3 linked regions of the Danio rerio genome follow. The protein of the gene in region 2 binds, or shares a complex with, the protein of the main gene of each other region. Links are inferred from orthologs where the notes say so. Each region holds a gene or a part of one and is shown on either strand. Other genes may lie near its edges.

Region 1 (11,142 bases), on a different chromosome or scaffold from region 2:
ATAACACATGGTTTTTTGCTCCAAGGTGAAAACCCTACTCAGTGTTTGTGCTGCAAAACTCCTCTTACTGTAAAACATATTTTACTGGACTGTCCTGCTTTTACTGATTCCAGAAGGACTTTTTATGAAATGAACTCTTTTAAGGACATTTTTGACAAAATAACACCCGAAAAGATTTTAGAATTTTTATCATGTATTAACACAAAAAACTTATTTAATTTATGTTTTATTTTGTTTGTTGATTTTTAAATTTTATATTTATTGTTGAAAGATTCCTGCCATGAAGATAGCCTTGGTTGCTGACATGACACTAAATAAAAAATACATTACATTACATTTACCTATTATGGACATTAGTAGTTACAGGTTTTCAGCTTTAAAAAAAATCTTCTTTTGTGTTCAGCAGAGGAAAGAAACTTAAAGGTTTATAACCACACAAGGGTGAGTAAATAGTAAGTTTTCATATTGGGGTGAGCTATCTCTTTAAGAAAAAGAGGTGCATTAAGATACCTTTAATCTGCTCCTGTAGTGTACTTGTCTTCAACATCTAGGGCTCTATTTTGACGGTCCATGCGCAGAGTGCAAAACGCAGGGCGCAAACGCTTTCAGGGCGTGTCAGGGCGCGTTTTTGCTAATTTAAGGACGGGAAATCTGCCTTGCGCCAAGGCGCATGGTCTAAAAGGGTTGAGTTTATTTTCTTAATGAGTTATATGTGTGTTTTGAGAATAAACCGATTAGAGTCTCATCTCCCATTCCCTTTAAGAGCCAGCTGCGTCGCGCCAAGAGCGCATTCGCTATTTACAGGACGCAAAGTAAGTCTAAGTGGAAAAAATTAGCATTTCACAAGCAAACAGTTAACAGTGAACAGTTTTTTAACAGAAAACTGTTAAACAGAGCATCTACTGCGTGAGAATGAAAGATAATGGATCACTTTCACTTTTGGATAGGGAAACCTTTACGCACAGACATCAATTAGTCTATAAATAAATAATTTTGTTTGTTAAGCGCAAATATTCGATTCAAAACTATTTCAGTTATAATTTCCAGCAAACAAATAAATGAATAATAATAGCAAAATGTGCTCAAAAACCTGAGTTATATCCTAAAACACATGCTGTGCCCCATATGGTCTAAAACCTGACAGGTGGGCAAATCTAAGCTTGTTTTTAATAAAACAAATATAAATATGGATATAATAAATAATACTGCTAATAATAATAACATTATACACAAGCAAATTGTTATGAATGAACTGAAAAAGCCTCCCGAGATGAAGAAGACATTAAAAGCAGTTTTTTTTCATATTTATGTAGGCTAGAAAATAATAAGCTTTGTAATATTTTAATCCTTTATATTTATATCCTAAATCTATTCTTATTATATCCTATATATATCCTTAATATTTAAATTTTTTCATATGTAAAGATATTTGCCTATTGCTCTCTTGTGCGTAATAAGCAGTACGTAAGCGAGGCGCAACTCTGCGCCGGAGTTTAGACCGGGTTAGTTTTGGTCTAATGAAACATCTATTATAGTCTCTCAAAATAGCAACGCGCCAGCGGTCCACCTCAGAACGCCTTCTTTTTTAGACCAGAACTCCTATGGGTGCACAAATGAGCGCTAATTCATTTGCAGGGCTCGAAATTGCGACCATTTTGGTCGCATATGCGCCTGAAAATTAATCTATGCGACCGCATAATATATTTGGGCGCATTAGTGCGACTGCAGATAATGGTTGAGTGAGACCTGTTTTGATTTTTTTGTAAAAACGTGCTGAATCGCTCTTCCCTGCTGCCGCTATATTGGTTTCTATTAGCTGTCAATCCCTCAAGGTATTCCGCTGTCAGATGACAGGGAAGGAGTTTTGATGACCACGGGAAATGCAAACGGCTGAAGAGTAAAAACTTAAAGCACACAGGTTTGCAAACCCCACCTAAAGTTGAGGCGCAGATGAAAGCAATCATGACACGTCACGTGGTGAATAATGATCCACCAGCTGAGATCAATCGAGTACGCGCTTCTTGGAGAAGGCACTCGAATCTCCATGCGTTGCATTCACTGCGTGTTCAGCGCAAATGTCCGCTAAAAGTCAAATCTAATACTGTACATATCATCGCCAAAGAAGCTTGCCTTTACCAAGTTTACACTGAAACTGCGGCTCATAACAAAGAGCGGTATTGCGCCGGTTGTCATCGCAAGAATCCTGCTCTGCCTGCTCATAAATTGGGTCGGCTGACTCGCCAGCTTTTCCATTAACACAGAAAAATGAAGATCATCTCAGACAGAACCTTTAAATTGACACAAACTGAAACCAAAACTTTTAAAGAGTGATAGAAGTGAGATTTTATTTACTTTCTTTTGTCTATTCTTTTTTGAGGTGTATATTATTTTTTTATTTATTTACTGATGACTTTGCAGCTTTCATCATTGAATTGAATGATTTAATATAATCTTTTGTTTGTTTTGTAGCAGAAATATTATTTATTAAATTGACATGCATATAAAAACAGCAGTACAAAATCAATATTTCTTACTGCAATGCTTTATTTTTACAAGGCAGTATCATAATGAGAAATGTAATTCATTGTTACTATTATTGTTATTTTCATCATCATTAATATTCTATGGCCTAATTATTAGACATTCATTTTGGAATTATTGCACACAAATATCAATGTCTTCGCAGCATTAGTTAGATAGTTGTTTCTGGTTTTTGTCAGTCCTATTGACGTTGTTTTAAAATACAATAAATCCCTTAAAAAACAATTTGCAGCGGTGCTCATTCATTTTTGGTGGTTGCTCCTAAATTTTTTCTGGTGCTCCTAAAAATTTTTTTGGTGCTCCTAAATATTTGAAGTTGGGAGCACCGGTGCTACCAAGTAAAAAAGTTAATTTCGAGCCCTGATTTGCTATTTAAACAGCGTAGCGCAACGCCTCAAAAGGACTCTTGCGCCAAGCTGAAACTACCAAAAGACTATTGCGCAGCGCCTTGCGCCACACTGCGCCGGGTGTATGATAGGGCCCCTAGTGCCCCTCAGTGTATGTGCACATGTAAGGCAAGTTTATTTATATAGTTCATTTCATACACTGTGGCAATTCTAAATGCTTTACATAAACAAGAATAAAAAAGTCAAGTATAATAAAATAAAAAGCAATAATAAAAATTATTAAAAAACATTAAAATGTGTTCTGTGTGTTTTGGCAGTTGCCATGTAAACATAAACAAACACATAAATCATAAAACATACTTGGTGTTCTACACAGTCAAAAATGTTTTATAAAAGTCATGCAGAAATGTCACCACATTCAAATTTAAAAACAACTTATGATTTATGCCTTGTTTTTTTGTTTGTTTTTTTCAATTCTGTATTAGAATAAAGTTTTGGATATGTATATCATATTAATATTAAGTTCATAAATGTATAACAACCAATACACATTATACATACTTTAGTACCATGTATATAAAAATAGACAATATAAAAGAAAATAACTAAAATTTAGTGTATTTATTTCACTAAATAATAAAAATGACTGCATCATTTTTCAATAACAATAAATAATTTAAAGGCCATAATTCTAACATTCTAACAATATATTACATTCAGTTAGCATCATGATACCATCTTAATATCTTATTTCCATAGTAATTCATTTAACGTTAGCCTTTTTAATGTGCATTTTTTTCACAAGACAATGCAAAACGTAAGTTCTATAGCGACGTTCATAAATGTAACGTTAATTGTTGAGACGATCATCTCAAATTATACTAAAGCTGAGCATTCATCTTTCAAAACGAAGCAATGTAACAATCATTTTGCTACCTCTTTCCTGATTCAATGTGCTTGCAGAGATTCTCATCCACCTCCATGAGACAGTAATCGCCCGACGACACATTATCTCCGAAAGATAGACAGTAAGTGACGGGCTGCAGGTCTTCTTCTTTAACTTTGGCGATTTGTAGCGTTCCCTGAACCTCTTCTAAAGTCCTCATGCTGTCAGAATTACTTTTATCCAGACCGACTGAACACAAACACGTCTGCTGTTGTCAGCGATCAACTTTCCCGCAATATTTGAGCCGGAAGATGATGCCGTTGATCGACAGTAGTTTGAACCAATGAGCGTGAACCAATTCAGGCTGGCGCGTAATATTGTGTAAACGTCACGTGTCCACTAGATGGCGCTGCATAACACATTTCACCACGTGTGTCACTGTTACGTAATATTATTGTTTTGATGCTGGCAAAAATGTGCGTTGTAGAAAATTATGAATAAAAAAGACAAATAAAATATAGATAAAATAATAAAATGAATAAATAATTAGTTGTTAAATGTTATTAATAGTGGAAATTTACAAGTTTACTGTTCACAAAATGAACATTCAGTAGCTATATTAAAATGGTTCCAGTCACATTCTTTATGATTTTAAACATGTAAGGTTGTTGTTTTTTTAAAATAAAAATAGTTATTAATTTGGATTTTTAATTAAAAGATTCAGATGAGAAAAACACACAAAATGCTAATACAAATGCATGTTTTGAAGTCTTTTTTTTTGCTATTTATTGTTAAATTAATTGCATAAGTCTGTTGTGACCGTTCTGTTTATTCGTTTTTAACATAAACATTATTCCAGACATAATAAATTTATAATAAGTTTAATAAACCTGAATTAAACGTTTCAACAGTATACAACAACTACATATAATATATTATAAAATATTTTACTACTTATCCTTTATCTTTTGCTCGTTTGCAAAAACATAAAACACAATATATATATATTTAATAAGTATATGAATCCTTTCATTTCTTTTGCCTGGGCATTTAAAGTGATTGAGTGATGTGCTCAAGCTCCGCCTCTCATGGTAAACTCCCCCTGTTGAGGATGGTCAAGTTGACTCGCCCTACATGGACAGTAACGTGCTTTCAGTGAAGAATAGTAAACAATCCACAATGCCATGAAGAAAATACATCATCTGGGGTCTTTGTTCAGGAATAATCTTTAGTTTGAATCCTCGACGTGATTTATTGCACGATTTTGGGGTTCATTTTGCACACGACGGGATATAGGCTACTGTTGGCTGAACTGAGGGCACTTGATGGCACACAAAAAAACAAGTTATTCCGAGTCGTTTTGCGCTGTGATCAAGATTACAGTGATGTTCTTTTATTGACACCGCTGGTATTGTTCTGCGAAGCATAAGACTGAGGTTTCTGCATCGGAACCAAGGTAAATATTCTCGTCGCTTGCTTGTTTGTTTCGATGTCCTTTAACTTATGGGATGATTCGGATGACATAATATCTTTTCATTCATCTGACCAGTCCGTCCAGCTCAAATTTTAAGGCTGTCATAACAATAATCACGCCTTACAAAATATGTCATGAGGCGTGTTCTAAAATGAATACAAGCTCAAGCACGCTGTGCATGTCAACTAATTCTCAAACAGTGTTTTTTTTCATTCAGGCGTTGAATAATCACATCAGAGTGCATGATTTGGTATTCAGCGCGGCTGTCAGAGATGGACGGCATCGGGAACACCATGCAGAAGAAGGCTGCTGAGCTGGAGCGCATGGCCGAAGTCCTCGTTACCGGAGAACAGTTACGGTAGGTGTGGCTTTACACCCCAATTACACCGTAGCGACTAGTCAGAACGAAAAACCTAGCGTTTATGCATGAACTGCGCGCGACGTCGAAGGTTTGTCGCGTCGCTGTCATTAGAGCTCTTTAACTCTTGCAATGTGACCTCTTAAATATTAAATGGACAGTAATAGTGTGCACATATGCTAGTGCGAATTAAAATGTGTACAATCTGCTTTATGGTATCATTCACGTGTAGTTCTCACCTATTAGTAGGGCCAGACGGAATCTGCGGACGTTTTTTGCTATTTCTGCTGAGAATTTGGGTAAAACTCTGCGGATTTCTGCTGAATTATTTTGGTAGCATCATAACTATAACCTTAATATGTGAAATGAAAAAAAAAAATATATTTTTTAACTTTTATTTCATGTTTAAAATGCAAATCCGATTAGATTCACTTTATTTGGTTAACAAAGTCTCTCATAAAATATATCTACTAAAAGACAGAAAATATTACTGTACAAACTGCATTGTACTTAAATCAGATGAACCTTTTCATATTAGTTAATAATGTTACTGTAAATAAAAATGGAAAAATATAGATTTCCAACATTTACTCAAGTAAATAAACAGAATTAATGATGGGCTAAAAATCTGCAGAATTCTGTGGAATTCTGCGCGCGCAGATTCCGTGTGGGCTTACTTATAAGTCATTAGCTGATACAACTTTTAGATTGTATTGGAAAGTCACTTTAAATTAACTATTTGCAGTTGTTGTTTTTTTCTATAATTTTGCAGTATTTCTTGTAAAATATTCACAATTGCTCATTTTTATTTTTCAATAATGTGCATCCAGTTTTTTTAATTACAATAACTTCCCATCCCTGACCCCACACAAACACTGCACTCAGAGACTTTGGGCCCTATTATACACCTGGCGCAATGTGGCGCAATAGTCTTTTGCTAGTTTCAGCTTGGCGCAAGAGTCGTTTTTAAGGCGCTGCGCTACGCTGTTTAAATAGCAAATGCATTAGCACTCATATGTGCGCCCATAGGCGTTCTGGTTGTTATTTTGAGAAACTATAATAGATTTTTCACTACCAAAACAAACCCGGTCCAAACTCCAGCGCAGAGTTGCGCCTCGCTTACGCACTGCTTAATACGCACAAGAGAGCAATAGGCAAATATCTTAACATATGAAAAAATTTTAATATTAAGGATATATATAGCATATAATACGAATAGATATAGGATATAAATATAAAGGATTAAAATATTACAAAACATATTATTTTATAGCCTACATAAATATGAAAAAACACTGCTTTTATGTCTTCTTCATCTCGGGAGGCTTTTTCAGTTCATTCATAACAATTTGCTTTTGTATAATGTTATTATTATTAGCAGTATTATTTATTATATCCATATGTATATTTGTTTTATTAAAAACAAGCTTAGATTTGCCCACCTGTCAGGTTTTAGACCATATGGGGCACAGCATGTGTTTTAGAATATAACTCAGGTTTTTGAGCACACTTCGTTAATATTGTTAATTTATTTGTTTGCTGGAAATTAGAACTGAATTTAGAAATAGTTTTGAAATGAATATCTGCGCTTAACAAACAAAATTTTATTATTTACAGACTAATTGATGTCTGTGCGCAAAGGTTTCCCTATCCAAGAGCGAATGTGAAAGTAGATCCGTTATCTCTCATTCTCACGCAGTAGATGCTCTGTTTAACAGTTTTCTGTTAAAAAAACTGTTAACTGTTTGCTTGTGAAATGCTAATTTTTTTCCACTTAAACTTAGGCTACTTTGCGTCCTGTAAATAGCGAATGCGCTCTTGGCGCGACGCAGCTGGCTCTTAAAGGGAATGGGAGATGAGACTCTAATTGGTTTATTCTCAAAACACACCTATAACTCATTAAGAAAATAAACTCAACCCTTTTAGACCATGCGCCTTGGCGCAAGGCAGATTTCCCGTCCCTTAATTAGCAAAAATGCGTCCTGACACGCCCTGAAAGCGTTTGCGCCCTGCGTTTTGCACTCTGCGCATGGACTGTCAAAATAGAGCCCTTAGTTTTTAATATATGTTTAAATCATTTTTAATGTTTATAAAACTCACTTTTTCACTTTTCATTGACTTATTCCCTTCTTTCATAAAGGGTTGCCACAACGGAGTGAACCCCCCATTAGTTCACAAAACAGACCTTTTAAATACATGTAACAATTTCTAGACCAAATGCTGTTTAAATGAGGTCTGCTATATAGGTTCCCTCTTTGACTTCTCTGATGATGTGACACTGACATGAAGGTATGGCACATGGTCACTCACATGAGATCTCAATAGAGTGAGTGTCTGTCAACTTTTTTTTTAGCTGTTTTTTATTTTCCTAAATTTTCATTAATCTTTCATTTTTCATTGTCATAGGTTTAAAAATCCTGCAAGTTAAATTATATATTCAGTTGAATAACAACCTTAGAACTCACAACAAGTTTGTCTTTAATTGTTAAACAATAATTTCTATGAGTTTTTACCTGAAACCTGACCTGAATCATTCACAAAGCTTCTGCTGTTGTGCACTGCAGAATCTTGCCATATAGGGTCATCCAGGTACTTTTTGTTTGCTGTTTTTTAAGTACTGTAAATTTAGACATAAAACAATTTTAACAAGAACTTCACTTTTTAGTCATCTCAACTTCAGTCTAACTGACTAAAAACATTAGATAAAGTTTTACATAAATAAAAAACGTTTTATATATATATAAAAATATATATTTATATATATATATATATTTTTTTTTTTTAATTATACATATATATATATATATATATATATATATATATATACATATATATATATATATATATATATATATATATATATATATATATATATATATATATATATATATATGTATAATTTTTTTTGAAGTATATTATATATTGGATGTAAGTTTTTTCATTTAAGATTTATGCAGAAATCTTCTGTAATATGTTTGTGGCTCTATCCGTTCTCAGACAGCTGCTCCTATGTCAACGGACTGTGACAGTGATAGTGAAAGGAGCATAAGTGTTTAGTCAATACATCTGATTAATGATTGCTGAAACAGTACCAGACACAGCTGTCTTATAGACTGTCTAGCAACTTCAAAACATATTACTTCATTACAAAATGGGTAAAAAATACTGATTCTTTGATTTGAATCAGCCTTCAATTTAACAAAACAACAGTTATTTGAGAAAACCAAAGTTAATTTTTAATCCTTAGGCTCAACTTCAAAGGATGTCATTATTTTTTGCACTTCACCTCTCTTCCTAAAGATGCCCCATCTTTTGAGTTATCCAGCTTAAAATAATAAAAACAGAAAAAAAATTAATATCTGTTGATCGTGGCAAAAGATCACCGTTGCTAAATTTAATAGTGAAGTACAGTCTGATAAAATATTTCATGATCTAAGACAACGACTGTAAAGATGACATTGACAAAACTACTGTCATTTGCAAGTTGCCCACAAGTGCTAATAACATGTCTACACCAAACGCAAGCAGCGCGACTCTTTCTAAACTATGTAAATTGTTAACTACAATTGATGCCCCTTTCTATTTCTAACGTGCTCGAAGCACCACTGACACAGAGAACAAATACATTTCAAATGCTTATAGCCCCATCCAGTGTAAACAGCTTCCAAATATCTTGTTTAGTATAGACAGTTTGTACACATTTTCCAGACAATGGTTTTATACTCCTGTTTTGAATGTTTTAATCCTTAAAATACATTTTTTTAAACTTGTTATTAAATTTTAATGTTACATGCATACATTTTTTTTACATTAATGCTAATTGTGCAGTTAAATTGTGTTTGTCACTCAAAAAAAGGTAAACAATAAAAAAAATGTATAATTCTAAAGTATATATTATATAAACAGTGTTGCCAGATTGGGTGGTTTTGAAGTTGATTGTGCGGGTAAAAAAATGCATGGTGGGTTGACAAAATTTGGGCGGTTTTGAAACGTAACTTTTATATGCAACTTATTCAACAAAGCATAACTGTGTGCTCCTACTCCATTTAGATAATAGCAACCAGTATATAGCGCAAACTGCATTGGCTCACTTGCAAGAGTAGGTGAAGGAAAGTTGTATTTAAATCTGACTCCCCGGACAAATCTGACTCTTACAGCAGTTTATCATGACACTTTTATCGATCATTTTTTCCACAATTGACAGCAAGAACAAACATAGAAGCATCGTCTAACTGACAAGCAGCACCTAATTTTGTTCAAAAGACTTTCAAACGCCAAATAGGATGAATTAATTACCCATTTCGAAAGTAAAACATACTCTAATAGATAGTGTAATTTACGCAATATTTAGTGCTGTGTGTGGCTGAGGCGAGGGCAGTGTTTCGATGTGATCCAGTTATGTTGTGGTTCTGTTGACTGCTGGTGTTGGTTGCTGTTTGGTTAAAATTATGGCAGTTAAAGTAGCTATGTAAATTTAGCATCGTGGCGGGTTTTGGACAGTTTTTCGGTTGGAAAAAGTCAGCTATTTCTGGCAACACTATATTTAAATTATAAGTAATTATTAACCATAATTGTGTGAACTGTTTTAATGCAAATGTCTTATCTTTAATGAGTTTGTTTGAGTAAACATTCAGCTCAGCAGTTTTGAATTTATATTTAAATATTTAAAACTATTGTTTTAAATCAAATATTGATGAATTTTAATATCTGATATTGAATAAAAATCAAAATCGAATCTAAACATGAAAGACCCAGACCTATTATTTACACTTTTTTTCTTTCTTTCTTTTTTTCCATCTATAAACATTTATGTGAGATTCAGCATCCTAAATGTGCATTTGTATCTGGTGTATATAATAATAGTACTATTATTATTAATGGATCTTTGACAAGTATTAGGTATCATTTTTACCTCCAAGTTGTGTGAGAATATCTGTTATTGTAGGTCATAGTGAACCAGTTTAATCTGCCGGTTGCTGGTATCACTTCCACTTTCTATGTACAGCTGACTCAGGTTTGTATAATCAGTTATCAGGCAGTGACAGCAAACCCACATTTTGCCCTGTGCACAGCTCAGGTTAACCTGCTTCAGGTATCAGGCCATCAGGTTCACCTGCCCCTTTTCTATGTTTGCTGCTTGGACAGGTGTAAATAATCAGCAAGGGTAAACATTGACAGACTATAAAAAAGAAGAAGAAATTTTTGTATTAATTATAAATTAAACAAATACGAGATACAATTTTAAGTAAGTAATTTATTGTAGGTTCAGAATGTTTTCCAGGTAAATGAATGAATGAATAACTACACTGAACAAAACAAAAAACAACAACAATTATAAAGACAAAAAAGAAATGCAAACAAACATCATTATTACATCAGTTCCTCTAGTATTATACAGTACATGGGTCAACAATGTTACACATATATATATCTAAGCCAGTGGACACAGGCAAAATGGTGATCCTGCAGATGATGACAGGGTTATACATTTAAACTTGGCATTTGACAGATAATATAAAAAGGGTTTCCAAGTGGC
Region 2 (10,500 bases):
CCCTCTATACTAACCCAATTCCTGATTAACAAAGAGTAAAAAGTGGTTAACAAAGTAGTATTGAAAACATAAATTAACTTACAATCAAAAAGAGGTTGAGACAAAGGCTGTATCAGATAGTCAACAGCATCAACAGAACTTAAACAAATTAAAGTTCCTAATCAACAAATAATGCTTAAAGGATTAAACAAAGAATAATTTTTAAAGTCTCACAAAAGAGCCTCCACACACACAAAAACACACTGGCTGCGTCCGAAAACGCATACTTCCATACTATATAGTACGCCAAAATCAGTATGCGAGCCGAGTAGTATGTCCGAATACATAGAATTCGAAAATCAGTATGCGAAAAGTACCCGGATGACTTACTACTTCCGGCGAAATTCTGGAGTGCGCATCTCATGCACGCTGCGCTATTCCATGATGCCCCGCGAGCGAATTCATGAATGGGAATGAAGCGACGCAAATTACGCAGGTAGGTCGCGTGACCATGACAAAATGGCGGATGTAGTACGTCCGAATTCCATTCATACTTTCACATTCATACTGTATAGAACGTACTTTTCTAACGGCCGAGTAGTACGTTTAAATTCAAATACAGTACCTACTGAGTAGTAGGCGGTTTCGGACGCAGCCACTGTTCCATTGGAGACAAGCTGCTTAAATGCCCACGACTTTACTCGTCCTCCAATCACTGAATGGTTCATTAGTGGCAGCAGGTGACGTTAATCATCACCTATTAGGGTGTAGCAGAGAAAGGAAGAAAGAAAATACAAAACAGAAACAAATACGTCCTGGGACGTAACATAAACAAATGCAGTGAAAATATATTTTTTAAAAGAAGAACTTTATACTCCACGTCCACATTGATTTGGATAGCGCTCCTCTGCTTGTTGTGATAATATTACCTGCAGTGGCAGCAAGCTTGTTTTGCATATCCCCGACTGGAGTAGTGTGTTTTTCTATGAGGGTGGAAGAGGCAAATTGCCATGTTGAACACAGTGGCAAAGAAAACATTATATTTCACTTCACTGTACACTTATTTGACACCTATTTATCTTCCAAATAACCATGGCAAATGATTCGGGTTTTGATGTGTACCAAACAGAAAGCCTTGTACCAAATAGTTCAGTAGGAATATGTGTATCGTTACACTTCTTTTAAGAATGTAATCTCTGATTTACTTCTCATTTTGTCCCTTCGTGGTTTGTGTTACAACCTATTAGGAGGCAGAAGACCATGCAGGTGGATGCTACTGTATTTACTTGCATAAGTATGCTGTCCAGAGCTATGGGGCCTAGCATCCAACAGGACGTCAAAGAACTTCTGGAGCCCATGCTAGCTGTTGGTCTCAGGTACTGTACAACTGCTTGGATTTAGTCTCTTATTCTCAGTTATATATGCAGGGCTCCACAATAAGGACTGCCCGGTGGCACAGGGCCAGCGTGATAGCCGCTTGGGACAGTAGACAGGATCATTACTGGCCCGATTGGGACAGTGCTGCCTTGTCTCTAACATTTAATTAGTCTGTGACTATTTGTCAATTGCATGCATTTTAAGTTTGTGCTTTTAAGTCTTTAAACACTACCTTCTTTGTGATGTCGTAAACACCATATTGCTTTTCAGTACCTCTTCTCAGATTTGATGTTTTGAGCATGCAATCTTTTTCCGTAACTTGGTAACAACCAATACAGCGAAGAAACGGCAACATCAAATTATAAGGCTAAAAGAAAATGTCTGTTTCTAATGTCTTGCAAGCAGACATTTATGTGTGAACAACACAATAAAAAAAATAAAGTCATGTTTTGCACAGTTTGCCGTCAGTTTGACAAGTCAGCCACCAATTGTTAAATAATTTCGAACCGCAATAAAATACCACCACGTTTTCCTTTGCTGTTTTTGTTTGCATGACACTTTTCGAACAATTTCAAAGTATTGAAATTGTAGAATCACAGATTTTATTTTTGACACATTACTTAAAATATGCGGCTAAAAATAGCTATTAACTTCCATTTTTTAAATTTATTTATTTATTTATTTTTTTTGGATGGGGCCAGTGAAAATTTTGGCAGGGCAAGTTAAAATCTGAACCACTGGCCCGATCGGCCCAGTAGAAAAAATCCTTAGTGTTTAACCCTGATAAGGCAGTCATTGCTTAAAATGCAATAATTCAGTACTAAACACTATTCACAACTCATTCAGACAAGTCAAGTAAAAAAAAATGTCAACATAAATTTAGTGAATTGTGCACAAACTTTGAGGCTTTTTACATGCCAAAAGATTTAAAGGGAATGTGATACGGCTGCACAATATTGGAAAAATTAGATTTTTCCTGTGAAAAATATTGCAATATGAATACAGTTTCACAATATGGTTTGAATTAGGGGTGTCAAAATTAATTGTTTCTTCTGTGCACCGCGATGCAGACGCGGACAATTCGGTATGGGTTCAGTAATAATCATTACCGGTTATTATGTACTGACGTCATTTACCTCATATGCGCTCTGTCGCAAAGGAAGGTGAGTGCGGGTATTTTCAACACTCCAGGAGCCAACTCAGGGCCGGCACGTGGCAAAGGCAGTATAGGCAAATGCCAAGGGCGCTGTAAATCCAGGGGGGCGCCAGAAATGAGTGCGGTTAAGTTGGTTTTGTTTTCGATATTCCTGACACATTCAGTGATAGACGGCAATAACTCAAAAACCTCTTACCCTAAAAAGATCTAAAGTGTGTTTCCTACAAAAAGACAAAGCTGGTTATGTTTCACAGCTGTCTTTTTCTTTTTTACCCAAAACCTGCTTACCGCGAGTATGTTGGTTCCAAAACAGGTGATAAGAGTTAGTTAAATCAACCTCCTGAAGATAACCGCAGGTTAATGCGCGTGCACGGCACAAACCTAAAGGCATTTTCAGTAGATCGCCGAAAAAATGTTATGAAAAAAAAAAGCTATGCACTTATAACCCTCTCAAAATGAAAAAACTTGTATCTGTGTGTCCACATCCACAAATATTCTCATCAAAAGAGCATGCAATGCTGAGTAAGCTCTCTGAAACAGACAAACAAATGGAACAGCAACTTACTACTCACTCTGGAACATAGCAATTTACTCTCTGAACATTTATCTTCAGAGAGTAAGTTGCTATGGCTACTTAACATACAGTACCCAGAAGTTACCTCCGATTTTGGAACCAAAGCTGAGGTTATCCACCTACTTACTCTCAAACTTACCCTGGTATGTCACATAACCTGCTTTCTGGAACAGCCCCCAGTATAGGTTCACACCTCTAGTTTGAATGGCACTATTTGATGTTTTCTGATGAGTCAAAGTATCCGATCACACCGAAAACGATATTGCGTTGAACGGCACTTTTTTTAAAATGATTTACTAACAGCTGTGAGTGTTTTGCGTGCTGTTTATTCGCTCTGCGCACCTCGCGGTTTTGTTATTGCGCTCTGTATGGTTGCAGTTGAAACAAAAGTCAAGTCTGAGCAGAAAAGGCGCGCTACGTCAGTCGGGTCTTTTTCATTCTCCAATCAACTGAAAGCAAAACGTATTTTAAAACGAAAACGTTATAGTGTAAACAGTGCCTTAGTTACATTAAAGCTATTATCTACGGAGACCCGGAAGGGTCGTAATGGTGGAAGAAAAAAATGGGTGGGGGAAAAAAAAAAACAAGTGATAGGTAAACATATTTTTGAAAGTTTTTGCGTTCCCTCACAAATATGTTTTGCGTTATCTCGCAAATATGTTTTGTGAGAGAACGCAAACATGTCTTGCGTTCCCTCGCAAAACTGTTGTATGACAAACATTTCACTTCATACATGACAACCCTCCTGTTTTTGCTGGAATTGTTCCGTATTTTACCATTATATTCTATTATCAGGTGTTTTCCCATATTTTTCTCATATTTTAATCTTGAAAGCATGTTGAAAACAATATTAAAATGTCTGCATTCACTATCTTTCCATTTGAGCTGTGCGTCGATCAGCGCCCCTCATATGCACTGATAAACTGATCCCAGATCAGCTTCTGTAAACGCTATTTAAAGTGACACCTCTGTCATCAAACAAGTGAAGAGCAGCAAATAATTTTCTCATTTTGTTTTGTTTGATGAGGTGTCACTTTACGAACGCACTGATATATAATGAAAGCATACTTTAACTGTTTGTGCTCAATTAAGAGGAAAGTAGCTGTTAAAATAAAACATGCAGGATGGACATGTTTACGTATTATTCAGTGTATTTGTCTGTTTAAGCATACACCCTAATCCGAAAGTGTCCTGCACTTCTGCTCCTCTGTAAATAGGGTGTACAGAAGCTGATCTTGAATCAGTTTATTGTACAGAGCGCGTCTGTCAGTCAGCGCTTATACATGCATTCACTGGTTCAGAGGTTGCATATGAAAGGTGATGATCAACACACAGCTTTAATGTAATGAAAGTGATGCAGACATTTTAATATTAATTTCAACGTGCTTTCAAGAATAAAAATATATCAGAAATATGGGAAAATACTCAATGATGGGATGGTAGAAGGACAGAATGGTAAAATACGGGAGAATTTCAGCAAAAACGGGAGGGTTTACATGAATGAAGTAAACAGAAAGTGTTTTAGGAGAAACAGTTTTGCAAGATAACGATTTTTCCTCCCACCCAGGTATTTTTTTCTTCCACCAATTTTTTTTCTTGCACCTATTTTTTTCCCCCCCACCATCACGTCCCTTCCGGGTCTCCGTAAGAATCAAATAAAAAAAAACATTGTGAAATTTGTAACCACCCAGAAGTAAGATTTTGGGAAAAAAAACAATCCCGAAAAGTGTTTTGTCCAAATAAATTTTATTACACACAAGAGTCTCTTCAACACTATAAATAATCCTGTATGCATGACATAGCATTGAACAACCCCTTTAAACATTATTTCTCTTGCCAACTCTCTTCTCTTCAGCCCTGCTTTGACTGCAGTGCTTTACGACCTGAGCAGGCAGATCCCACAGCTGAAGAAGGACATTCAGGATGGTCTGCTAAAGATGCTTTCACTTGTGCTCATGCACAAGCCTCTTCGTCACCCGGGTATGCCCAAGGGCCTGGCGTATCAGCTATCATCGCCCAGCCTGACCAATATCCCTGAGGCTAGCGACGTGGGCAGCATAACTCTGGCACTGAGAACTCTCGGCAGCTTTGAATTTGAAGGTAAGATGACTTAGGTGATGACCTTTAAAATAAATAGCATTTTCTTATCAGTTTGTTTATGAATTAAAGGACCAGTTCACCCAAAAATTTGAATTCTGTCGTTTTGTTCCAGATCTTTGTTTATGTTCAGAACAGAAATTAAGATATTTTAAAGATATTTTAGGGTGCTTTCACACCAGTGAATCGTCCACCGGGAATATTTCAGTGGCTAAACAACACGTCTTTGCATAGAACCCAATCATAACACAATACACTCTACATCAGCTCTGTGTGACTGATATAGTTTTAAAACAGAACATTACCTCTCTAACAGAAATACTTCAGCCATGGTGTGGTGTCGTCCTTCCTCCAGCGTGCAAAAGTAACTCCAATACTGATTCAGGAGTTTAAAAAGTTGGAATTCAGCATTTGAATTTGCTGCAACTGACAGTCTCGCGTGCATGTGTCGCTCATCTAGGCGTGCACCTCAGATTTAAGCTAATTATTTTGGATGTGATTCAAATGGCACGAGACACAGAACATAGACTCAAACTTTGCCATATTTGAAGCTTAGAGGTAGATTAAAGTTAGTCTCTGTGTGCACAGATGGAGGGACGGCCAACTGTACTGTAGTCTGCTTCAAAACAGTGGTCAGTACTCGTTTAGCGGGAACTTCGTGGTTCCTCAAAGCCTGGTTTATACTTCTGCGTCAAGTGACCGGCGTTACCCATGGCGCATGCAACACGCGTAGCTGTGCATTTATACTTCTGCACGTCTCTGTTGGTCTGCATTAACACTTCCGAAACGCTAGTTGGCAGTGAGGCGTTTATGTTCCTCTGTGTCGAGTTTCTTCACTGGTGTTTTGCTTTTCCTGAACACTTCTGGGATGTACAAGTGGCTCAAACTTGCTCATTTTGTGGCAGGAACCGGCGGACGTGCAACAACTTTAACTAAGAGGTACACACAAACCAAATTTTCCATCCAGAGCTCCTTCACGAGACTCCACAGTTGTAAACAATCGCTCCATCTGGCTCGCACCATTTACGCGGCTCTCGGTCCCGCCCAGACTCGTCAGCGCTACCAAGACGACCAATCACAGAGCTTGCGCTACGCGTCGTTGTGACGTGTAGTTAAATTTTTTTTAGAGGTGCACGTCAGCGACGCCGAAGGCCACGGCAAAGGGCTATGCGTCAGCGCCGTAGCATACGCCGGCGTTTGACGCAGAAGTATAAATCAACCTTAATGGCGGATTTGCGTGGCCAGAGATGCGCAAAAGCCCAAATCTGCATTTGTTGACTGACAGTTTGAGTTACTTATCGGAATTATGAGAGATGTCGGTCCGACTTTATTTAATTGGATGAACATTTTTTATTTTTATGCCTTACCCAGAATAAAAAAAATACATATAAACACATTTAGATCATTTACTTTAATCATTACTATTAGACTGTGAAGAGACTTTCAATCAGCACATCAAAAATGCTTCTGAAGACAATCAGCTAATGCGCCTTTAATAACAGAACTTTTTTTTTAGGTGAACAAATTATTTAAATGTGCGGTGTGTACGAGTTAGACTAGTGGTTAAGCTTGGTATTGCATTATATGATTACATCAGATACTGATCATTTGCTTTCTTTAGTGTTAAATGCTACAAATGCGAATTTAAATATCTTTATACTTGACATTTATTGGCACACTGAAAACATCAGTGTGTTTACCTCAGATCTTGAAACTAGCAGGCATATAGTTTAAAGATTAAAGATTAAAAGTTAAAACTGTGACTCAATGCAAACCAACATAATATCAGTCATTCAGCATGTACTTTGAACAATGTTAAAGAGTTTTAATATGTAATGCATACATTGAGGCAACTGAAAGGAAATGAGATTTTTTCCACCAATGCAAGCCAGAGTGCGAAAATTTAATTGGGTAACAATGACAGGCATTCTTATATGGAAAGCACATTTTTCAAGGAGAATAACTGACTTTAACTGGCTTTTTTTTAGATAAACATTAGCATGCTCTTGTCGGCGCAATAGCCTAGTGGTTTGCGCGTCGACATACGGTGCAGTAGCACGTCAGGGCGTTCCGAGATCGAATCCCGGCTTGAGGACATTTCCCTACCCTACCCCCCTTTCTCTCCCACTTTGCTTCCTGTCTAAATACTGTTCTATCTAATAAAGGCAAAAAGGCCAAAAAAAAAAAGAAATGTTAGCATGTTCTTTTAAAAAATATGCAAACATATTATGGTATTTTTATGCTTTAGATGAATCAAAAATGTATATACAGCACCTTTAAATAAGTGTGATGATGTTTGGTTGATTTTTAGGCCACTCCTTGACCCAGTTTGTGCGTCACTGTGCGGACCACTTTCTGAACAGCGAGCACAAGGAGATCCGCATGGAGGCGGCGCGCACCTGCTCACGTCTGCTTACCCCCTCCATCCACCTGCTCAGCGGACATGGACACGTGGTCAGTCAGACCGCTGTGCAGGTGGTGGCTGACGTTCTCAGCAAGCTACTTGTGGTTGGCATCACTGACCCAGGTGAGAGACACAATTGTTTGAATGCGTGATTATAGGGACGGTGAAGAGAGAACATTAATAAATCTGTAAATAAATCTATTAGTAAATTTACCATTCATTCATTCATTCATTTTCTTGTCAGCTTAGTCCCTTTATTAATCCGTGGTCGCCACAGCGGAATGAACCGCCAACTTATCCAGCAAGTTTTAAACAGTAATATTTAGATGTGTGAATTGTAAAATTTAAGTAATGTTTTTATGAAATCTTTTTGATTTTTGACATGTTTTAAAAATATTGAAATTTTGAAATTGATTTGTGGCAATATATTTGTGGAACGGTGGCTCAGTGGGTAGCACTGTCGCCTCACAGCAAGAAGGTCTCCGGTTCGAGTCCTGGCCAGGCCAGTTGACATTTTTGTGTGGACGTTGCATATTCTCCCCGTGTTAGTGTGGGTTTGCTTCGTGTGCTTTGGTTTCCCCCACAGTCCAAAGACTTGCGCTATAGGTGAATTGGATCAACTCAATTGTCCGTAGTGTGTGAATGTGAGAGTGTATGGGTGTTTTCCATTACTGGGTTGTGGCTGGAAGGGCATCCGCTGCGTATAAGATGTGCTGGAATAGTTGGCGGTACATTCCGCTGTGGTAACCCCTGATAAATACGGGACTAAGCTGAAGGAAAATGAATGAATGAAATGTGAAATTTTTGACCGATACTGATAACTCAGGCTAAAATCTGATATATTGGCCAATAAACATAAATTTGTTTGACATTTTTCTGAATGATTGCAAGTATAATAGGCAAACACACAGTGAAAAAAAAGTTTTTTTTTATTTTAAAAACGTCTGAAAAGTTTGAACTAATAAACTTTAAACTTTATTAAATAGCTATTAAGCTCTGTGACTAACTTTCTCTTTTAGACTTTTTTCTTTGAATGCAAAATTACCCATTCTGCTTTGCATATATGTGTAAGGAGGATGTTCCGAACTTCCGGTCAGCAGCTTGATGAGTATAAAAACATTTGGACAGCTTAAAGATAATTATAGTTTTAACCCATTTTACTTTACCATGCGAACACAGGGAAAACATGCAAACTCCACACAGAAATGCCAGCTGACCCAGCTGGGACTCAAACCAGCCACCTTCTTGCTGTAGGGCTTTTCAAATTTATAACTGACCCAAACAAATGTAATTCACCAAAATGTTTGACACACACACACACACACACACACACACTCTCCCCAGGGTTTCTGCGGGGTCTTAAAAAGTCTTTATAGACCTTAAAAAGGCTTAAATTTACTGAAATATTGTGTTGTAGGTTTTAAATCTTTTTAAACAGGTCTTATTTTTTTTTTATTGCGACCCAATCTGGCCGAAACCAATACAATTACCAACAATCCATCATAAAACTTATTTTTTATTTAAAAAGGTAATTTTATCATAATTATTTATCGTAATGGTTTAGTTTTTTTTCCTTAAAATAACATTTGTTTAAAAGTGCTCCATGTACTTACTGCTGAGGGTACCGACCTAGACTGATTGAATACAGATTGGTAACCATTCACATCTATAGTAGGAAAAACAAATGGAAGTCAATGGTTACAGGTTTAAATTTTTTTGTTTAACAGAAGGAAGAATGTCAAACAGGTTTGGAACATCCTCCACGATAAATAAATGATGACAGAACTTTCAGTTTAACGTGAACCATCCATTCATCAGCCAGGTTTTCATCTTGTTAAAGAGAAATGGTTGAATATCACGTTCTATGAGAGTTTATCTCATACATGCACTGTTTCTTTGGCCTCATGACAGACCCTGATATTCGATACTGTGTGCTGGCCTCCCTGGACGAACGCTTTGATGCCCACCTGGCACAAGCAGAGAACCTCCAGGCTCTGTTTGTGGCGCTGAATGATGAAGTGTTTGAGATCCGCGAACTGGCCATCTGCACCATCGGTCGACTCAGCAGTATGAACCCTGCCTTTGTCATGCCCTTCCTGCGCAAGATGCTCATTCAGGTACTCATGTTTGTTAGCATTTTTTTAAATGTACATCCTATCATGATATACATACTCTTATATATTATATATTAAGAGGATCTGTTAAATAGCATAGTGCCAGAATAAAATATCACACAGGTGAGTGGGCTTGACAAACCACCTGTAGAAAACACTCTTTCATCTCGGCACTAGTTTTGCACATTTGCACAAGACACTTTCTTATAATCACTCCACATCTATAAAAAAATAAATAAATAAAAGTCATTGTGGGTGACGCGGTGGCGCAGTAGGTAGTGTTGTCGCCTCATAGCAAGAAGGTCGCTGGTTCGAGCCTCGGCTGGATCAGTTTGCGTTTCTGTGTGGAGTTTGCATATTCTCTCTGCGTTCGTGTTAGTTTACTCCGGGTGCTCCGGTTTCCCCCACAGTCCAAAGACATATGGTATAGATCAGGGGTGTCAAACTCAATTCCTGGAGGGCCGAAGCCCTGCACAGTTTAGTTCCAACCCTGCTCCAACACACTTACCTGTAGGTTTCAAACAAGCCTGAAGGACTCAATTAGTTTGATCAGGTGTGTTTAATTAGGGTTGGAACTAAACTGTGCAGAGATGCGGCCCTTTTGGAACTGAGTTTGACACCTGCGGTATAGATGAATTGGGTAGGCTAAATTGATCGTAGTGTATGAGTGTGAATAAGAGTGTATGGATGTTTTCCAGAGATGGGTTGCAGCTGGAAGAGCATATGCTGCGTAAAACATGTGCTGGATAGGTTGGCGGTTCATTCCTCTGTGGCGACCCTGGTTTAATAAAGGGTCTAA
Region 3 (11,295 bases), on a different chromosome or scaffold from region 2:
CAAATTCAAGGGCCGTGGGAAACTTCGGTGTGTTTATAAAATGTTTGTGGCCTGTGAGAGCATATGATATTATTACATTCACAGTCAATGCAAACTAGGTTGCATGAATGATGTAAAAGGCACACATTTAACACTGTTAAGGAGTAATAACGGTTAAACAGTCTTACAGATATAACCGGCCTTTTGAAGGCAGCCATAATGCTGAAGTAGCCCTCAGTGAAAATAAGTTTGACAGCCCTGCTTTAACAAGGACTGTAACATTGACTGTTTTTGCAGGTTTTATCAATAAAACTGAAAAGTTGCTTAAAGTGAAAAAGAAACAGCTGAATTTTATATTTTTTTAATTAAAAAAAATCAAAGTTAATGTTAACTTTAAAGTTATTATATATGTAGCTATTCGTGATAGCAGAGGTCCATTTGAAAATAACTAATATAATTAAATTATAATTACTAATCAACAACTAATCAGTTGTAATTTGAAATTAATATGAATTTAGATAAATAAACAGGCAATTCTATAATCACTGGTATATTTGGTACCTAAATGCTTTTGTTTGTTTCAGTTTTTGTCAAATGGTTATATTTTCAGTTATCTTAATAACGAGATGTTATAGTTTATAACAATATGTAGTGCAAAAAAGTTTGTTACATAGCTGAGAATCACGATTTCTTCTTGTCTAAATTAGTCAATGTATTTTTCCACCATACTGTAATTAAAATATTGAAATATTTAAAATAAGGAAATATACTTTACTTTAGTAATATTCAATTTATTGGTCACACTATAAAATAAGGTTTCATTAGTTTATATGAACTATTAATGAACCATACTTGTGCAGCATACATTAATCATTGTTCAACATTTACTAATGCCTTTTTAAAATCCTAATTTAGCCTCGTTAACATTAGTTAATGCACTGTGAGTTAACAAACTAACGAAGAAAACATGTATTTTCATTAAATAAAATGAACAAATACTGTAATAAATGTATTGTTCATTGTTTGTTCATGTTAGAAAATGCATTAACTAACATTAACAACTACAACCTTATTGTAAAGTGCCACTGATTTACTATTATTTACAAAAGGGTGTCCTACATAGTCAGTTTTTTTTAATTCTACAACATAGCAAAACTAGTTATTCAAAGTAAAATTGATCCTGTAAAAATAGCATACTGGAAGTGATGTTTGCCCTCACTATTTTGATCTGAAAAGGACTGAAAATTATGTTGTAAAATGTCAAAAGTGTCACCACAAGAGCAAAAGGAAAAAAAAAACTCAATACGAGGTTGTTTACTCTGTCTTTTAACAATGATTTAATTAGTATTTCAGTTTTTGGCTAATGGGTTTAAAGTAGTAAATTACATTACCATCAAACAAACTTTTACCATGAAAACTGCATTATAAAAAACAAATGAATGCAAAATGTATCTGCAGCATTTTATCCTTAAATTTCTTTCCCCTCAGTGGATTCCATTAGAGACGTCATGACAGTAAGCCAACTTAAAACCAGAAGTCAAGAAAATGCAGATGCCATTCATTGCATCATATATGGATTCATCACCTGTTTTGATCTGGGTTCCTCTCCCTCCAAAATAATAACCAAGAGATGGTGAGATTGCAACGCTTACAGTTTTGTGAGATACAAATTCTCATGTCACAATATTAGTCATCATATATCCTGATAAATATAGTAGTCGACATTTAAAATGCATATAAAACATTTCAGACAATTCTTTGTAAATTGAATGAACTTTTACAAACTTTATTGATCCACTTCAAATGCTGACTACTGTATATCACAATATACAGTATATGTGTTTTAATATAAATTCAATTAATTATTAGTATGTATGTAGTGACCGTGCCACATTACAAATTAAATGTAATAATATATTTTTATTATCCATACAATATTTATATATTCTTATATTGCACAGCCCTAGCTTATTTTGCTTTTAATGTATAATTTCTCCACTAGTGCCAGATGCAAATTTCGAATCAATGAGGAGAGTTGGACGTGTTCCAGTGACATTTGTCCAAATCAAGGACAAGAGCTCCAGGCTAATGAATGCTTTGATGTGCTGGTGGACATCAGTGACCACACTGGCACTTTGCAGTCATGCAACCTGGTGGGCACAGTGGCTGAGAAAACTCTGGGCTGTAAAGTGAGCAAATCTAATGCTTATATTAATGCTGGTGAAGAAACAAAGCATTCAAATGTCATAATACATTCAAAATCTGTATACTAAACTTGCATTCTGGGTCTAATTGGTGTTAAAGATTATGTTTTAAAAAATATTTTTCAGCCTATTTGCTCCATATCTCATCTCATTAATGAGTGGATGTAGAATTGAGTGTTACTGATTTTATCTTATTACTCTTTAATGCTTTTTTAATTGTTAATCAAAATATAAAATATATCGATCTTTGAAAATTTCTAATTGCACAAAAACTACACCAAATCCTATTTGATTATGTCATTGTAGGAAATTTATAGTAAATAAAAGAAAAAAGTTTTACATAAGAAATATAAGAATATAGATTCTCGCTAGTTCAAGACCCGGCTAAGCCAGTTGGCATTTGTGTGTAGAGCTTGCATGTTCTCCCCATGTTGGTGTGGGTTTTCTCCAGGTGCTCTGGTTTCCCCCACAGTCCGAAGACATGCGCTATAGGTGAATTGAATAAACTAAACTGTCCGTAGTGTATGTGTGTGAATGTGAGAGTATATATTTGTTTTAAGCATCCGCTGCGTAAAACAAATGCTGGATATGTTAGCAGTTCATTCCGCTGTGGCGACCCTGATTAATAAAGAGACTAAGCCAAAAGAAAATGAATAAATTAATGATTTAAAAAAAAAAACTGTCAGATTAAACGTACTTATTGATTTACCACAAAACAACATTACTCTAAAAAGTTTTCAAACAAATAAACAAATTTTATTTGCATGAAGTTTCAGATTAAGATAGATAGTTTTACAAATACTTTTGGCGCATACTCTTTCTCCATTCATACCCAGGTCCAAAATGGTCCAAATATAAAACTTACAATTAAAAAATACATCTTTTAACTGTAAAGTCATTGTTAAATTACATAGGCCTTACAAAAATAAATTGCTTATTTTTGTGGTTTTAAAGTTCTGTAAAGTTTCATTACTAAAAACATTTTTAGAAAATGTTAGGTGATAGGAATATCTTGAAGAACAAACAAAAAAAGAACTGAATGCATTTTGAGGGTTAAACCACCTAACTCTTTCATTTATTCATTCATTTATTCATTCATTAGTCCCTTTACTCACCAGGGAACGCCACAGCAGAATGAACCACCAACTTATCCAGCACATGTGTTACACAGCGGATGCCCTTTTAGCTGCAACCCTATACTGGGAAACATCCATGCACACTCATTTACACACATACACTGTCCAATTTAGTTTATTGAGTTCACCTACTGTATAGCGCATATGTTTGGACACACATGCCAACAAGGGGAGAACATGCAAACTCCACTCAGAAATATCATCTGATTTAGCCAGAACTCGAACCAGTGACCTTCTGGTTGTGTGCTAACCACTGAGCCACCTTGTCACCAATGGCCTAACTGTCTCTAATAATACATAATAGATATTTAAAGACTGTTAGGATTGTGCAGTAAAGTAATATCATCTTGACAGACAGAAGAGTTTTTGTGCCTGTCGGAGTATCAGCGGACAAGCCTGCAGTGGAAGTTTCTTCTGGAGCGATGCAAAATATATCTGAAGGTTTTACATGTTTGTCATAAGTTTTTTTTTTTTTTTTTTTTTGGAATGTTGATCATGTAAGGATGTAATTCACCATTTTTTTAATCGCAGGTTCTTCCATCTCCCAGAAGGAGAAGTGGAATGAAGGCAGACATCTTGTCATGCGGACTCGCTGACCCCGTTGAAGTGAAGCAAAACCTTGCCTCATTTGTGGTTTGATGTTTTGCATCAGCAACCAAACAACACAAAACAGTTCCTCATATGAGAGCAAATCGATTGTAAACGTGCAGAATTGATTGATTCATTCAATTTAAATGCAGATTATTGAGTAATAGTTTTCACATTTGGTTCCATTGTCCTCCTTTACCTTACACTGTTTTTGTTGTATATTTAAATTAATTAACTTAATTTATTTATATTTATTTTGGTACAGTTAAACTGATGTAACCAATTAAATAAATATTAAAAAAGAACATTTTTCTGAACTTCGGAACTCTTGATTTAAGAATTGTTTCTGGGGGACGGTTTTGGAAGAAGCACCGCTTGGTTTGACATACATGTAAATAATGTCGTTTTCGCTTTTAAGATTATAGATTTACATATACCTAACTGAGGTTTAGCGCTTTCGTCTCGCTCAGGTAAGATTTACTGTACGTTATTTTTAAAATCATGTGTCTCCATGTTTATTTTAGACAATTTTTTCACGCTGAAAATTAATGTATAACTATAACAAGTGTTTAACGTCATTTATTTCTGTGCAACCACAGTTTAATCGTGCTGCAAAAATATAAATAAACAAGCTGTAGAAACATCTATGTTAAAAGGTATTGAGGTACATTTATAAAATTTTGAACAAGCAGAGCTTAAAACTAGGCATTCTTTCGCGTAGATAACTTTAGGTCAGGACTGAGCAGAGCTGATTATGAATGTGAATCAAGGCACCGTCGGAAGTGACCCGGTGATTCTCGCCACCGCTGGTTATGACCACACCGTCAGATTCTGGCAGGCCCACAGCGGGATCTGTACGAGAACTGTCCAGCACCAGGACTCTGTATCCTTCACCCAACAGATGCCCAGTCATTACCAAGCTTAAAGTCTTCTTTATTGTTACCTCTTTAAAAAAAAAAAAACTTTTAAGTGCTTTGTTTTTGCGTAGGATTGTATTTTACAGTACTGTAAAAATACTCAAATGTCTGTCAGTATTTTCAAATAGTAATATTTGATTTACCAGTCATACTAGTGACAATTTCACATCTGTCAAGCCGATAATGGAGAGATATCACATCCATAGGGAAGCGTTTTTCCTCATGAATGCAAAAATGTAAAAACAAATAAAATAAAATCAATGATTTTTGTTTCCATTGTGAGTCAACTCTTATCCTTTTGATTTATTTCTTTTGAGTTGTGTGTGGGTTCTCTTTCTCAGAATTTCTTCAAAATGTGTTGTATACTGTAAACTCGCTAACTTTTTTGTTCACATCCATAACACGTTTATTTTTCCCATTTAAAATCTAAATAGTGTTTACAGATTGATATTGTTCTGATCCCATAACTCCCATGGTTAGTTGTTTTGGAAAATATGTTATATGTTTCAATATAATCTTAACTTTTTATGTTTTGAGTTTTTACTGCAAATATCACATCCTTAACGCTGGAATTGCTCATGTGTACTATAATAAGTCTAGATGGCAATGTATGTAAAATAGCTCAGTGGAGATGAAGTACAGTATGCACACTATGCTATTGCTTTAAAGACTTTTATTTGGACTGTACATGCTAAAGTGTCTCCTTGGACACATTTTGTCTGGAAGAAATGTGTAAGTTTATTAAAGTGCAAAAAAAAAAGATGCTTAACTGAAAACACCAGCAAGTCAATTCTCTTGAAGTAACACCTGATAGGAGCATGATTGCTGCTGCTGGTAAGTTCTGCACAATCATTACTTAAAATCAACGATTTTCATATGAATATTTGTATTGTTTATCCTCCAGTTTTATTATAAAACACTTTTTGACTGTTACTTTTAAAAGGTGCTATAGGACTACATCTATTTCGTAATCATTAAACCTTTTATTTTTTATTCCTATACCTTATTTAATTTCAGGTTATCAACACATTCGCATGTATGACTTAAATTCAAACAATCCAAACCCTGTGATCAATTACGATGGAGTCAGCAAGAACATCACGTCTGTGGGCTTTCATGAGGATGGTCGGTGGATGTACACGGGTGGAGAAGACTGCATGGCTCGCATCTGGGACCTGAGGTACTGAGTCCTGTTTGCTTAACGAAAATAGATTAAATAGTTCATGCAGTAGATGTTTTTCTCAAGTACTGTTTCCATTCAGGTCCCGAAACCTTCAGTGCCAAAGAATATTTCAAGTCAATGCACCCATTAATTGCGTGTGTCTTCATCCCAATCAGGTCAGTTAAAACATTTCATTACTTTTTTAAATTCTCATAAGCAAACGAATCACATTTTCTTTAAATGTTCCTGTTTTAGGCCGAACTAATCGTTGGGGACCAAAGTGGTGTTATCCATATCTGGGATTTGAAAACTGACCACAATGAACAACTCATCCCAGAGCCAGACGTCTCCGTCAATTCAGTCCATATCGATCCTGATGCCAGTTATATGGCTGCAGTCAACAGCTCGGTCAGTAAACCGTCAATATGGCACTCTGCTAATGAAGCTGTGTTCATGTGGAGGTATTAAGGGGGAATTCACCTCAAAAGTGAAAATCGTCATTTACTCGCATGGTTTTCAAAACTTACAATACATGTGTTCATTTTAGAAAAACAAATTAATGTGTATTTAAATAAAATCTTAAGGATTTCTCTCCTTCTACCTAAAGTCTGTTAAACTTTAAAATATTAAAGAGATGTAAAACAAATCCATATAAATCAAGTGGTTTAAGACTTTTGAAAACACACAGTTGATTTATATGATGAAAAGATTGAATTTAGGCTTTCTTATACATGCAAACATTGATCAGAAAATATAAACAGAAGCTCAACCTCACCAGATGTCTGTGCTTCTTATGTGAACTGGATTTGATTATGGATGATTTGACATAATCCCAGTGAGTGTTGTTCTTCAAAAGTCATCCAGGAACTTTTTTTTTTATATAATTACAGGTCTGGTAGCTCAAACATGCTTGAGAGCAGGCTTACTTCATGTAAACAGGATTAGATTGAGTCAGGTGAAGGTGATACTGATAGTATGTACCAACTACTGATACTTTCAGCATGCGCCCAAATAATCTGAATTAAAAGAAAAGAATCATTTCACACTCTTATGTAATCTACACTCCATAATTAAAGTACAAAATCTGCTGATATCTTTCTAAAGGTTCAAATAAAACATTTTTGTACTTTGTGATTGGAATATACTTTTTAAGTAGTAATACACTATATATTTTTAAGATACCAACAAGGACCTTTAAGATACAAACGCATACTTTGAAATGGTTCTGTCCCAGTTTTGTACAAATTCTGAGAGTGTATGATAAAAGATATGGCAGATAATATATACATATATAAATAATAATTGTATAGTTTATAGAATCATGTAGATGTTGAGAGCTAATATGTGCCTTATGTAGAAACTTGAATACTTTTAAAGAAAATGACCTCCAAAAGTAAAACCAAATAAATAGCTAAATCTTTGACACTTGAAAGTGTGAAGCCTGCACAAACAGCCTGCAACAAACGTGGGAAGTTCTTGCATATTATATTGAACAAACCGTTAAATTCACTATGAATTTTGTAGTTTTGCTGAAATGGCTCATAAATGACGATTATTCAGATGAAGGCATTAGCCAGTCAATCAGCAAGTATTTTACTGCATTGCTAATCATGATTTCAAGGATCAAGAGATCTGTCCTTACAGCAAACACAAGAACACAGAGAAGAATGGACCCCTGTTTGTCACACAAGAACAAACCTATTTGGTTCTTGCAGATGTTCAGGCATGCCATGTGACACAAAATATTACCCTCATTTTTTTTTTTTTTTGGTGTAAAGCCTCTATCCGTGAGCTTCCATGATCAATTTGAATGTTGTAAACATTCTTCATATTTGGTTAATTTTTCTTTCTGTAGGGCAACTGTTATGTGTGGAATTTGGCTGGAGGAATGGGGGATGAAGTGACGCAACTCATACCCAAGACAAAGATCCCAGCTCACAAACGCTACTCATTACGCTGCAAATTCAGCCCAGACTCCACGTAAGTGTCTTGCAATACTAGAAGGACAATAAGAGAACTGTAAAAAAGGAACAGAAATGCCTTCATTTATTTCATACTGTTCTCCAATTTTACTGTTGTACATCAAAAAACACCATCATTAATTTTCGGTGTTGTTTTGACCTCTCTCATTAGAAGGAAATTGTATTGCATGTTTAGCTAATAGTAAACTATTTGGCAAACACACAATACAAGGAAAAACAATTCTGTCTGTGAGTTCACCGTTACACACTTTTAAATGGCCCTGATGTAGACAAAGTTATGCCAATTGTGTGCTAGTTTAAAGATCCGAGCTTATACTGAGGCTAATACGCACAAACATTGGATGGCCGTTCACATATTGCATATTTTCCACACGCAAGTTCATTTTCCAATGGAGACGTGCGCTTATTAGGAGTGGTGTGCACATGGCTTGTAGAGCGGACCGACGCACTCGCACTCTTATGTTAGACGAATGATTACAAATTGTTCAAATGATTATGTATGTATGACTGCAGATAATAACAACAGTTCATTTAAATTCTTAGCTAATATATAGCTAAAAATTAACATTAGACAAATATTTTTATTTATTTATTCTTATTTTTTTATATTTATTCATAGTTCTGTCATTTATTTTTATTGTAAAATTATGACTCATGTTTAAATCATTTTCATTCATTTTCATTTATTTCAAATTCATTTATTTTTAAGTTCAAAGAGAGAAATGGACAAATGTTAGTTTATTATTAACAATATTTTGTGCTGTATTTGATTACTGAGCAGCAAACAACATTTTAAAATATAGGCAGTTTTCTTGTGATTTTCTAAACTAGTGGTGTTTTGAATGTAATAAATGCACAATAATGGTAATAATTGTGAAACCATGATTATTCTTCAGACTATATCGTACAACCAAAATCATTGCATTTCTAATTGATTTTGTTGTGCTTTGAAATACAACATTTGAATACACATTGTACAATCCCGTGATATTATGTAGTTTTAAAATACAACATTTTAACGTTTTGGTGTAAAAAAAAAAAAAAAAAGCCAACGTGGGTGTCTCAAGGAGCAAATTACAGCATGTGGGCTCTTATATTGCAGTTGTGTCATCACTTATATTGCAAGTCATGTCTCTCCGGCCCCTCATTTTGGATGCATTTCATGAACTGGCCCCCATTACAAACTCATTAAATAGCCCTGGCCTACATCCTTCATGTTAAATAATCAGTACATATGAAACTATATGTAATAACTGACAGTTGAATTACTGTTAAATCCAATATTGTCTAGACCAGGGATTTTCAACCATTTAGAACATGCCCCTCCCAAGTTTGTCCAATTTCACAGCCCTGACATTGGGGTTGAGTCAAACATTGAGTACGTTTACATGGACACTAATACTTAATTATGATGAAGACAATACTCTAATTAAGAGTCTACCATGTAAACAGCAAATTTTTTTTTTTTTTGATTACCTTAATTTGACTAAAATCATAATTGAACTAAACAGAAATGGATTTAAGACATGTGGAGTATGCATATATTAGTGGAATTATTGAAGTAAACACCACAATCAAACTTATTACCGTCATGTAGGACTTTTTGCTGCATTTTGTGACATTATCCACACACACGCCTCAGTAAAGGACTGCAGACACACACCGTGAAATAGGTAGTTTTTTTCTTTCCATCTGGCTTGCGGTATTATATTCCGTTAAAACAACGCTCTTCCAGTCCTTACTCCATACTCTTATCTAATACACCAGTTTGTCATGGCGCATGAATGTACTGTTCATGAGTGAAAGTGAAACTGCCAAACTGCATTTAAAGTTGAAAAATTTAAGATGAAACCTAAAATTACATAAAACTCTGCAAGAAACATGGATAGCCTGGTGATGTAACATTCAAAAAGCACTTTATGTAAAAATCTTAATTATATTATTGTCTTATTTAGATTAAAGCAAATAACTATTACTGATGTCCATGTAAACTTAGTCAGAAGTGTCTTCAAAGGAAGTAAAAAGATCCACTTAGGCACTTTTAATTACCGTCATTCATTTTAAGAAGCACCCGGCCCTTTTTATTGTATAGACTATTTCAAGGTGATGTCATTGGCCCAAAAACATTTCCTGTTTGTTTTCAAACTATTTCATAAGACAATTCAATCATATCTTAATGTTAAAACGCCTTTCATAACATTATTAATCAATTTGTAAACCATTTCGGATTATCTGAAGCTATGAAAATTCAAATATATATATATATATATATATATATATATAGCAGGGAATATGTTAGGACCATTGTTATTGTTTACATCCATCTAAATATTGTATATATATTTTATTCGAACACATTAACTCTACAGGTGCCTGATAGTTAGCGGTGGAACTAACGTTAATCAGATTCACTCTAGTGGATGAATTCAAATTGTCATCATAATGTACTCGAGTGCACGCCTCAAATTCCCGCGCCCCCCTTTATAGGTGCTGGTTCCCCACAGGTCAAAAACCACCGGTCTACACAGCATAATTTAACAATCTCTCTAAAAATCCAGAAAACCAATTCTTGATAAAATGAATTGAACAAAGTTTTTACTGACATGGTGTGGAACTTAGATAGACTCTGCTAATGATGAGATCAGAAGGGAGACAATGCAAAAACTGGATTTTTCCCCAAAAACAAAATTTGTGGTTTTGTTATAGATCTGTGTCTGCATGTCACATTATTACGTTATAAAATGGCTCCAACCTGTCATTTGGGCACATTGGTTGGCTTTAATATAAGTTTTCTTATATTTTCCTAGTACAGCATCCTCTTAAATACTTCACAATGCTTGCAATTTTGTTAAGAAAAACTCTATATAATAAAAAATAAATCAATGCAGAAATGTTTCCACTTTGTACTAGATTGCTGGCCACATGCTCTGCTGACCAGACCTGTAAAATTTGGAGAACCTCAAACTTCTCACTGATGACAGAGTTGAGCATTAAGAGTAACAACCCAGGAGAGACGTCGCGAGGCTGGATGTGGGATTGTGCCTTTTCTGGAGATTCACAGTACATTGTCACAGGTGAGCACAGGGATCTCAGTGGTTCAAATGTGAGTTGATTGACCATGTTTTCTCATCCGGTGCAGGATTTGATCTCACTTTACATTAGTTGTAATTGGGTTATTTTTGTGAGGAATAGGAGTTATTTTAGGATCAGGTTTCATAGTGCTGGTTATGTTAACTATTTATTGGGTGAAGAATCATAAATGGTAACTTCATTGACTACAATATATATTTTATTGAAAATTCTTATAATAGTATTTCAGCCAGGGAT

What was found.
Region 1: the proteins of mtor (region 2) and deptor are in contact, whole or in part, in a cryo-EM structure (PDB 7PEC), measured with the Homo sapiens proteins. The link is inferred for Danio rerio from reciprocal best matches to the Homo sapiens genes MTOR and DEPTOR. Residues at the interface, in NP_001373429.1 of Homo sapiens: Met304, Gly305, Phe306, His1494, Cys1498, Trp1501, Gln1525, Asp1527, Ser1528, Glu1530, Glu1531, Cys1534, Met1535, Ile1536, Arg1538, Arg1547, Gln1554, Leu1556, Leu1559, Gln1562, Cys1563, Lys1566, Arg1683, Leu1685, Asp1686, His1687, Lys1710, Ile1711, Phe1714, Gln1715; in NP_073620.2 of Homo sapiens: Arg54, His56, Leu57, Lys58, Thr59, Tyr60, Pro61, Val101, Arg116, Lys119, Asp121, Gly122, Thr123, Phe124, Lys131, Ala132, Arg135, Arg138, Lys142, Glu177, Gly178, Glu179, Glu185, Cys304, Asn305, Lys307, Gly335, Asp336, Ala337, Val338.
Region 3: the proteins of mtor (region 2) and mlst8 are in contact, whole or in part, in a crystal structure (PDB 4JSV), measured with the Homo sapiens proteins. The link is inferred for Danio rerio from reciprocal best matches to the Homo sapiens genes MTOR and MLST8. Residues at the interface, in NP_001373429.1 of Homo sapiens: Leu2269, Arg2270, Met2271, Ala2272, Pro2273, Asp2274, His2277, Leu2278, Thr2279, Leu2280, Met2281, Gln2282, Val2284, Glu2285, Val2286, Glu2288, His2289, Asn2292, Asn2293, Glu2536; in NP_001186102.1 of Homo sapiens: Tyr20, His22, Asp42, Ser43, Gln44, Val45, Asn46, Tyr62, Asn87, Glu105, Gln148, Thr174, Arg221, Tyr222, Leu224, Ser268, Arg270, Gly271, Trp272, Trp274, Ser290, Lys313, Val316.

The regions. Positions count from the first base shown.
Region 1 is NC_133191.1:14,925,850-14,936,991, forward strand, and holds the start of deptor (DEP domain-containing mTOR-interacting protein), read left to right. Parts: upstream 1-4,862; 5' UTR 4,863-5,230; intron 5,231-5,448; 5' UTR 5,449-5,490; coding exon 5,491-5,606; intron 5,607-11,142. UniProt on the Homo sapiens protein: Negative regulator of the mTORC1 and mTORC2 complexes: inhibits the protein kinase activity of MTOR, thereby inactivating both complexes. DEPTOR inhibits mTORC1 and mTORC2 to induce autophagy.
Region 2 is NC_133183.1:56,016,148-56,026,647, reverse strand, and holds part of mtor (serine/threonine-protein kinase mTOR), read left to right. Parts: intron 1-1,226; coding exon 1,227-1,355; intron 1,356-4,941; coding exon 4,942-5,186; intron 5,187-7,494; coding exon 7,495-7,710; intron 7,711-9,498; coding exon 9,499-9,704; intron 9,705-10,500. UniProt on the Homo sapiens protein: Serine/threonine protein kinase which is a central regulator of cellular metabolism, growth and survival in response to hormones, growth factors, nutrients, energy and stress signals.
Region 3 is NC_133187.1:20,162,902-20,174,196, forward strand, and holds the start of mlst8 (target of rapamycin complex subunit lst8), read left to right. Parts: upstream 1-4,268; 5' UTR 4,269-4,377; intron 4,378-4,628; 5' UTR 4,629-4,661; coding exon 4,662-4,790; intron 4,791-5,606; coding exon 5,607-5,658; intron 5,659-5,841; coding exon 5,842-6,004; intron 6,005-6,086; coding exon 6,087-6,162; intron 6,163-6,241; coding exon 6,242-6,394; intron 6,395-7,841; coding exon 7,842-7,966; intron 7,967-10,878; coding exon 10,879-11,042; intron 11,043-11,295. Other genes in the region: meiob (meiosis-specific with OB domain-containing protein), read left to right, coding at 1,468-1,612, 1,982-2,168, 3,674-3,760, 3,851-3,958.